2 linked regions of the Tamandua tetradactyla genome follow. The protein of the gene in region 2 interacts with the protein of the main gene of each other region in a pairwise test. Links are inferred from orthologs where the notes say so. Each region holds a gene or a part of one and is shown on either strand. Other genes may lie near its edges.

Region 1 (3,909 bases), on a different chromosome or scaffold from region 2:
CACCTTACGTAAAACTGCAGCATTCCCAGCCCACCTGATTAAGCTCTATTCCCTTTACCCTGCTTTATTTTTCTCTATAGCACTTATTATCACATATTATATATATATTTTCTCTACTCATTGTCTGTCCCCTCCATTAGAATATAAACTTCATGACGGCAGGAACTTTGTTTTTGTCACTGTTGCAATCTCAGCACCTAGAAACGTCCTTGGCTATTGTGAGATGCTCAACAAATAAATATTATTAAAGGTTATTTGTGACTGCTCTGGCCTCTGGAAGTATTATTAACAATAACTAATAATAATAATCAAAGTGGATAAGATTAATCATAAGGTACCTATCATTTATTGAGCATACTATGGGCCAAGTATTGTGCTATAACTTTATCTAGTTGATCTCATTTAATCTGGACTATTCCATGAAGCAGGTATCGTTAGTCCCATTTTACAAATGAACCAAGGTTCAAAGAGGTTAAGCAATTAGCTCAACAATACACAACCCAAAAGACAGAGTTGCAGCCTCAACTCTAGTTCTGTCCCAGCTCCAAACTTGCATAGTTACCTGGCCGTGGGTGAGACTCTATATAAGTCATTTGATGGTTCTCAAATCCCTCACTCACAAGTGAGGATCCCTTTAATTATAAACGGGCTATTTTCTGATCCAGGCAAAAAACTGGGGCTCTCTGAACTACATCAGAGGTCCTCTAGGAAGTCAGAAAGCCACAATGCCAACCTGACAGGAGCAAGCTGGGGTCTGCCCTACTGGCTGAGGGAAGGCACCCTGCCATGCACTCATCTCCTGGCTCCCTGTGTGGGGGTGTCTACTCACAGTGGGGTTCTTGACTTCGTCGTATTCATCCATATGGTAGGTCCGGTAGCCCTCCTCAGCAGAGTCCCAGAACCATTTAACGATTCTTCCTCGAGAGGACAAGTAGGGGCTGTCAGAGGAGAACACAGCGGGGAGCTCGCCCACTCCATACAGCTCCAAAGGCTTCTGGTCTGCTTTCCGGGAGCATTCTTCGTCCAGACCACTCCCGCAGCTACTGCCCACATCCTGTGTGGGAGCTGGACTGGGGCAGGTGGGAAGTCCCCTGGATTCCTTCTTAGGGTGGGTGAACATCTACAAAAAGAAGAAGCACTCACTGCAAAAGATTCAAGGCCTGACTGGGTGCTCCCCACAGCACCAAGCATCAAAATGAGTTGGAAGTCGCTGGACTGCCGCCTTCTCTATCTGTGACTTCCTTTAAGTACTCACGGCTCCCTGTGTTCCTTACTGGTTGTGACCATCTGTGCAGACAAACACTCAAAACAAATAAAATCTGCTAAAGACCTATTATGTGCCAGGGGACTGGCTTGCTATGTTTGCATGACTTTAAGTTACTACTGCTTTAGTTGGTTTCACTTTTGCACAAGTTTTTCATTCTGCAGTCTAGGGGTCACTGATGTTCTTTCCACCCCTGCTGACTTCTATTTCCAAAAGCCAGGTTAAAGGTCACTGACCGGGAGTGGGAGAGGCCTAGAGGCAGATGGCAATTAGGGTAAAGGGCAGGATGAAGTATCTGGTGTTCTGGAGCGGGGCGGGTGGGGCCTGGGGAGAGGGAGGAATGGGGTGGGGGGTGGGGCCCCTGGAAGGGCACCAGGCGGAGCCCCAGGGTGGGTACCAGGTGAGGTGGCCTACCGCCGGTAGACCTGAGCCCCTTGGCTTCTCTGAGTCTGTTCTGCATATACAGCTGTAACTACCCGCCTAGGGGAACTGTGAGGACAGAAATACAGACGTTAACATAGATAATGAGCTTAGAACAAATTCTGGCTCAGGGTCAAAGTTCAAAAATCAGCCTGTGCTATTATACCCACGCTCTTCGCGGGTTTGCCCGGCACCGCCCGACGCACAAGCCCGCGCACCCGGAACGCCGGCGCGGGAAGCCGGGAGAGGCGCGCGCGCACTTCCGCGACAGGGAGTCCTCTCCGGGTCACCCCGAATGGCTGGGCTCGCCGAGCGCTCGCCTCCGCCCCTACGGCCACGCCGGGTTTCGGGACGGCACAGCCCTCGCAGCGCGGCGCGGGCGGGACGGGGGGCGCGGGGGGCGCAGAGGCCGCGGCTGGGGCGCCCGTCCGGGCTTGGCGCCGAGCGGGAGCGGGGAGCGGGGGAAAGAGAACGAGCAGGGCGCGCCCCGCGAGGGGCCGCTGCCGCTTCCGGAAGAGGAGGCGAAGGGCTTGGAGACGGAGCGGCCGAGACCCCAAGGCAGCCCCGGGCCGGGCCCGAAGAGCGGCCCCGCCGGCCCGCTGCGCCCCAGGGTGGGGGCTCCGCACCTACTTGGTGGCCTCGGCGGAGCCGCACAGAAAGGTCCGCTTCGTTCGCTGCGCGGAGGCGGGGAGCCGGGGAGCCGGCCTCTCAGGGGCTCGTGGCCGAGGCCGAGGCGCCTTCCCGTGCCTGCGGAGGCCTGCGGGGCCTGGAGGAGGAGCCGGGGAAGGGGAAGGGGCCTGGAGGCCCGCGCTCCTGGAGAAGGGCCTGACGTGGCGCCCCTCCCGCTCCCGCCCCAGGGCGCAGGGGCTGCCCTGCCGGGTCTCTGGAACCTGAAGGGGCCAGGGCGGCCTGGCCGTGCCCCAGCCCGCACGTGGGGGTGCTTCCCTCTGCCTCCTGGCCTCAGCCCCCAATTTCCAGAGGCGGTGACAGCCAAAGAGGAGATTCTGCTAATGTCTGCCTGGCTGCTCCCCGTATGAAGCCTTTCCAGATGCAGGTGTAACGGATGAATTAGGATTTAAGGAATGCTTTTGATGACTGAATCATATTCCTTTTTGCTTTCAGGGATGTTGGAGTAGATAGAGGGGAATACGTGAAATCCCTAAACTATAATTCAGCTCTCCTGATACCTGAAGTGATTGTAAAAACCCTTACCTTGTGCCGTTGTGGCTGTAAGAGTTGTTACTCCTTTTAGGTGGACAAAGGCTCTAATGCTAATGAAGAATTTGAAGTCAGCCATTAAGTAGCTTCAGCCCCCAGCGTTTGTAAATTACATCAGCCAGCCTCTGCCATTGAAAAGTAACTCAGCTCCCAGCCTTTTGGCTTGCACCTTTAGTCCTGAAGTGATAGCTCTGCCTCCCCTCCTTTCAGCTCCTGTTCTCCTATTGAAATGATAATAACAGTCTCCCTTCCACTTCAACTTGCTATTCAAGTGACCTCATCCCCCCTTGCTAAAAATCCTTAAAAACCTTGAACCCCCTTTTTCTGTTTTGCAAGCTGCCAGAATGTGATATACCAGAAACAGAATAGCTTTTAAAAAGGGGAATTTATTAAGTTGCAAGTTTACAGTTCTAAAGCTATGAAAATGACATAACTAAAGCAAGGCTCTAGAAATGTCCAATTTAAGGTATCCAGGGAATAATACCTTGGTTCAAGAAGGCGGATGACATTCAGGGTCTCTCTCTCTCTCTCTCTGTTGGAAATGCACATGGGGAACACGGCCATGTGTGCTAGCTTTCTCCCCAGGCTCTTGTTTCACGCTGCAGGAGCGTTTTCCTTCTTCAACTCCAAAGGTCTCTGGCTGTGTGGGCTCTCATGGCTGGCTCCAAAATGTTTCTTCTTTTAAAGGATTCCTGTAAACTAATCAAGACCCACCTGGACTGGGTGAAGTCACATCTCCCTCTAATCAAAGGTTAATACCCACAATTGCAGGAGTCTCATCTTCTTGGAGATGATATAATCAAGTTTCCAATCTACGGTGCTGAACATTTGAGAGGATAGAATCCCAAGGAGGTTATTTTTATGATTTCTATGAATAGTCAAATGCCTAGACTTTGGAGTATACCTCTGAGTCCAGGACCCAAACCAACAAGTCAAAGAGATCAAAAACTGAAGTTGCAGAATAACTTACTGAGTCATAAGGCTTGTTTGACTGTTTCCTGTGACTG
Region 2 (3,909 bases):
GTTTTAAGAATTCTGGGACGGAGGGACAGTGACTCAGCAAAGCAGGCAGAATTCTCGCCTGCCATTTCGGAGACTTGGGTTGAATTCCTGGTGCCTGCCCATGCGAAAAAAAATTTTGGACCAAAATAAAAAGTTGTTTGCTACACTACTGTTAATTGTTTCATAAATGGAGTATTTTTAGGTTGCAAATATGTGATCGTCCACATAATGCTCGGGCTTCTGACTTTTTTGGAAAAAGCGCCATCTTATTAACAACTGCTATGGATTCAGTGAGATGACTTGTATCATTTGGAGTGTATAAATACTTTGCAACCTTTTTTTCCTTTTACTGTTGCACTTTGAGTTTGGTTCCTACTTGAAACAAGATCTATTTAGCATGTATTGTTATCCAACCCAGGCTTGACATGTCACAGGGTGTGGGGTGGGGGTACGGGGCTAGCATGGGACCAGAGCATGTGAATCATGGTCAGGCAGTGATGACCTTCCAGCACCTCTTGACCCCTCGAGCCGGTAAGCCAACCACTAAGCTCCCTTTGTGAAACTGAATGACCCTTAATAAAAGTTGTAATTAGCACACTCAGGAAAAAGTGTATGTGTCTTTGTTGGTGGAGGGTTGTTGGGTTTCATTCTGGCTTCCCAGCTGTTTTTTGTTTGTTTGTTTGGTGATCATTCGGTTCTCCATATATAATCAGTAATTCACAATATCATCACATAGTTACACGTTCATCATCATGATCACTTCTTAGAACATTTGCGTCAATTCAGAAAAAGAAAAAGACCAGCTCTGGTTTTGTAATTGGACGACAAGATCATAGCCGCTTTGGGGTGTAGGATGGAACCGTTCGAAGTGAACGCATTTCTCGCAGTCCTCCTCAGACCTCGAAGAATGCTGGAGGAACTTCTTAAATGTTCTGTCTTTGAGCCCAGTCCCTGGAGGCCAAGAGAAACTTCGACCAGCCTTTGAGCCTGGTGTCACTCTTCACGACGTGGCGTGGACGTCGCTTCTCGCAACCTCCGGAGGTCCGGCGGCGCACTGGGAAGTGTAGTTCACCTCGGCGCCCCGCCCCCTGCCGCAGCGGCCAGTGGGCAGCAGACTACCACTCCCAGGATGCTCCGCGCCCCTTCCCGTCGGGCGAGTGGCGACGGCCGGGCCGGAGGTGGGGCTCGGAAGCGGGGCTCGGAAGCGGGGCTCGGAAGCGGGGCTCGGAAGCGGGGCTCGGAAGCGGGGCTCGGAAGCGGGGCTCGGAAGCGGGGCTCGGAAGCGGGGCTCGGAAGCGGGGCTCGAGAGGGGTCCGCGGCCATGGCTAGGAGAGACCTCAGGGGCTGCGCGTCCTAGAAGGATGGCGCGTAACCCCGGGGATTTCAGGGGCTGGGAGCATATAGGCTGCACTCGGTCGGGGGGACGCGGCGAGGGGCGCGGCCCGGGTCTGGAGGTGACTCCGGGGCGGGCCCTTGGTGGGGCGGGCTCGGGACTGGAAGAATGCCTGGCGTGGCGTGGCCCGCGTGGATGAGATAGCCGGTGTTGCCCCGCGGCCCTTTGGCCTTTGCAAACCGCTCTTAGGAAATTCCCGCGCTCTCCACGCTGGGGTAGAATCCTTGATTGGTTAGGAGATGGCGGGAGTTCCTTGAGGTGTTAGGAGACAGAACGCGTTTTGGACCTGCAGTTCGTGAAAATTGCCGTTACAGAGAATAAGAAGCACACTCAGATGGCCCCTGCAGTAACCCCTGGGAAACTCCGCGTCCTAATAGCAGGGCAGGCCAACGCCCGAGAACTAGAGATGGGCCTTTCAGACTCCTTTCCTCCAAGGCACGCCGAAAGTCGCTTTTAAATGAAGGAAAACTTCGCTATTAATGTGGTGTGTCAGATTTACACCTAGTGTGAAGGGAAACATTTCCACGGTCATAGAAAATCGTGTCAAGGAGTGACTAGAACTCACATCGTCTCCTCGTGCTGGGTGCTGCCAGAAAGTACAACTGAGTTTTGCCTGGAAGGGTCTGTTGGCCGTGGTGCCAGGCACCCACCTCCTTTCTGAAATGGGACCTACCATGCCCCAGATCCTCTAAGCTGCCACGCATATAAAGAATGCTTAATATATGGAAACAGATTTTGATTTCGAATGGGTGAAATGAGAGAAGACTTGATAGGCTTTGGACTCAAGTACTATTAAAGCTACTTTTTTTTTTTTTTTTTTTTGGCATAGGCAGGCACTGGAAATCGAACCCGGAACTCAGGCATGGCAGGCAAGAACTCTATCTGCTGAAATGGGGGGAATTCAAACGAACTGGACAGTGCGGTGAAGGAGCTGCCAGCAGCCCCAAAGCCCTGAGATGGTAGGGGAATACAATGAGGTGGATGGAAGTGTGAACCTGCATAGGGAGAAATCCTAATGCCATGGACTAGTTTGGGGGCTGGGTGAAGGGCCAGGATGTGGCCCCTGGAGGGGAGTGATGTGGGTTAACTTTGATGTCAAACTTCTTAGGCATATGCGAGGGTTTCCTCTGGGTCTCTGACTCTCTAGCTGGGAGGCAGGGCATGGAGGCAGATTGCTGTGGCCCTGTTCTGAATGAGTCCATTCGTGGAAATTCTAGGAAAGCATAAAAGACTTCTGTCTCTAAATGCCATTTGTGCCTCTTTCTCTGGTAACTTGGCAGAAGGCAAAACAATTCATTCTGCATTCCCAGCCATTTATTTCCTCAGTTTCAGCACTATTCACAGTTTGATTTTTTAATGTGATTTCTTTTACCCATTTTTAGGCAGCAAAAACCAAGAAAGGATTGAAAGGTAAGGGAAGAGAGAACACCACCCTTCAGCCATTATATATAACCCTTGCTCAGAAATAATTCAGACATGCTCGGGTCTGAACGTTGTTGATGAGACTCTTGCTATGTTTCCCATAATTCTTTAGGCAGCATGGGCTTCTTGAAGATAACTCCTTATGCTGCCTCGTTGGTCCTCAGAGTAATTCAGGAATAAATAAAGATGGGACTTTGGAAAAAATCCTTGGGGTCTGTATCCAGAAATATATGGTTAAGGTTAAGAGTGACAAAAAGCACTTAAGCTGGAAGCCAGAACTAATTCATTCAGCCTCTATCAGAAAGTGGCCAAGGAGGCATGCATTCAGCAGACCTGGGGGCTCTCGGATGGAAGGATCCAGAAGGCTTTTGATGTGAAAGGAGCCATTATGAGCCCTGAAAGTCTGGATACTTTCTCCACAGAACCATACTGGGCTCTGTTCAGAGTGTGGGGTGGGAATTTTGCCCAGGGTGTCGGGTGTGGCACACACCATGTAGGTTGCGCTGAAAATCTTTACTATCCTTTGAGAAAGTTACTTTCAGTTTCCACTCTGTGTTCCTTCAACAGTGCATTGTGACTTGTTGCCAGCGAGTTAGAAAACATCTTATGGCCTGTAGGAGGAATGCTAAGTCTGAGTCCCCTTATCTGAGAGTTCTGAGACCCTGGGATGAGGCTCTCGTTTCCTCCTGAATCCATGATGCTTCCTTTTCTGTTCCAGGCTCCATTGATGATGTCCTTGATGACCTCTTGGGGGAAGACAGTAAGTGCCCCCTTCCCCAGAATCCCCTGGTTTAGGCTTGCTTTTTTTTTTAATTGCGATATAATTCACATACCATAAAATTCACTCCTTTAAAGTGTACAAATCAGTGGTTGTTAATGTATTCACAGGGTTTTGGAACCATCACCACCAGAACATTTTCATTACTCCTAAAAGAAACTATATCATTAGCAGCCATTCCTCAATTTCCCTGCGTCCAGCCTTAGGCAAACACTCATTCATTTTATATGCTATTCATATAAAATGAAATCATACAATATGTGGTCTTTTGTGTCTGCCTTCTTTCACTTAGCAAAATGTTTTCAGGGTTCATCCAGGTGGGAGCGTGTATCAGTCC

What was found.
Region 1: the proteins of FBF1 (region 2) and ACCS interact in a two-hybrid assay, tested with the Homo sapiens proteins (2 studies listed by BioGRID and IntAct). The two-hybrid records come from large-scale screens. The link is inferred for Tamandua tetradactyla from reciprocal best matches to the Homo sapiens genes FBF1 and ACCS.

Annotation. Positions count from the first base shown.
Region 1 is NC_135334.1:120,683,070-120,686,978, reverse strand, and holds the start of ACCS (1-aminocyclopropane-1-carboxylate synthase-like protein 1), read right to left. Parts: upstream 2,446-3,909; 5' UTR 2,311-2,445; intron 1,121-2,310; coding exon 830-1,120; intron 1-829. UniProt on the Homo sapiens protein: Does not catalyze the synthesis of 1-aminocyclopropane-1-carboxylate but is capable of catalyzing the deamination of L-vinylglycine.
Region 2 is NC_135332.1:16,320,309-16,324,217, reverse strand, and holds the start of FBF1 (fas-binding factor 1), read left to right. Parts: upstream 1-1,211; 5' UTR 1,212-1,340; coding exon 1,341-1,433; intron 1,434-2,201; exon of another isoform or gene 2,202-2,205; coding exon 2,206-2,241; exon of another isoform or gene 2,242-2,328; coding exon of another isoform or gene 2,329-2,331; intron 2,332-2,754; coding exon 2,755-2,782; intron 2,783-3,512; coding exon 3,513-3,554; intron 3,555-3,909. UniProt on the Homo sapiens protein: Keratin-binding protein required for epithelial cell polarization. Involved in apical junction complex (AJC) assembly via its interaction with PARD3. Required for ciliogenesis.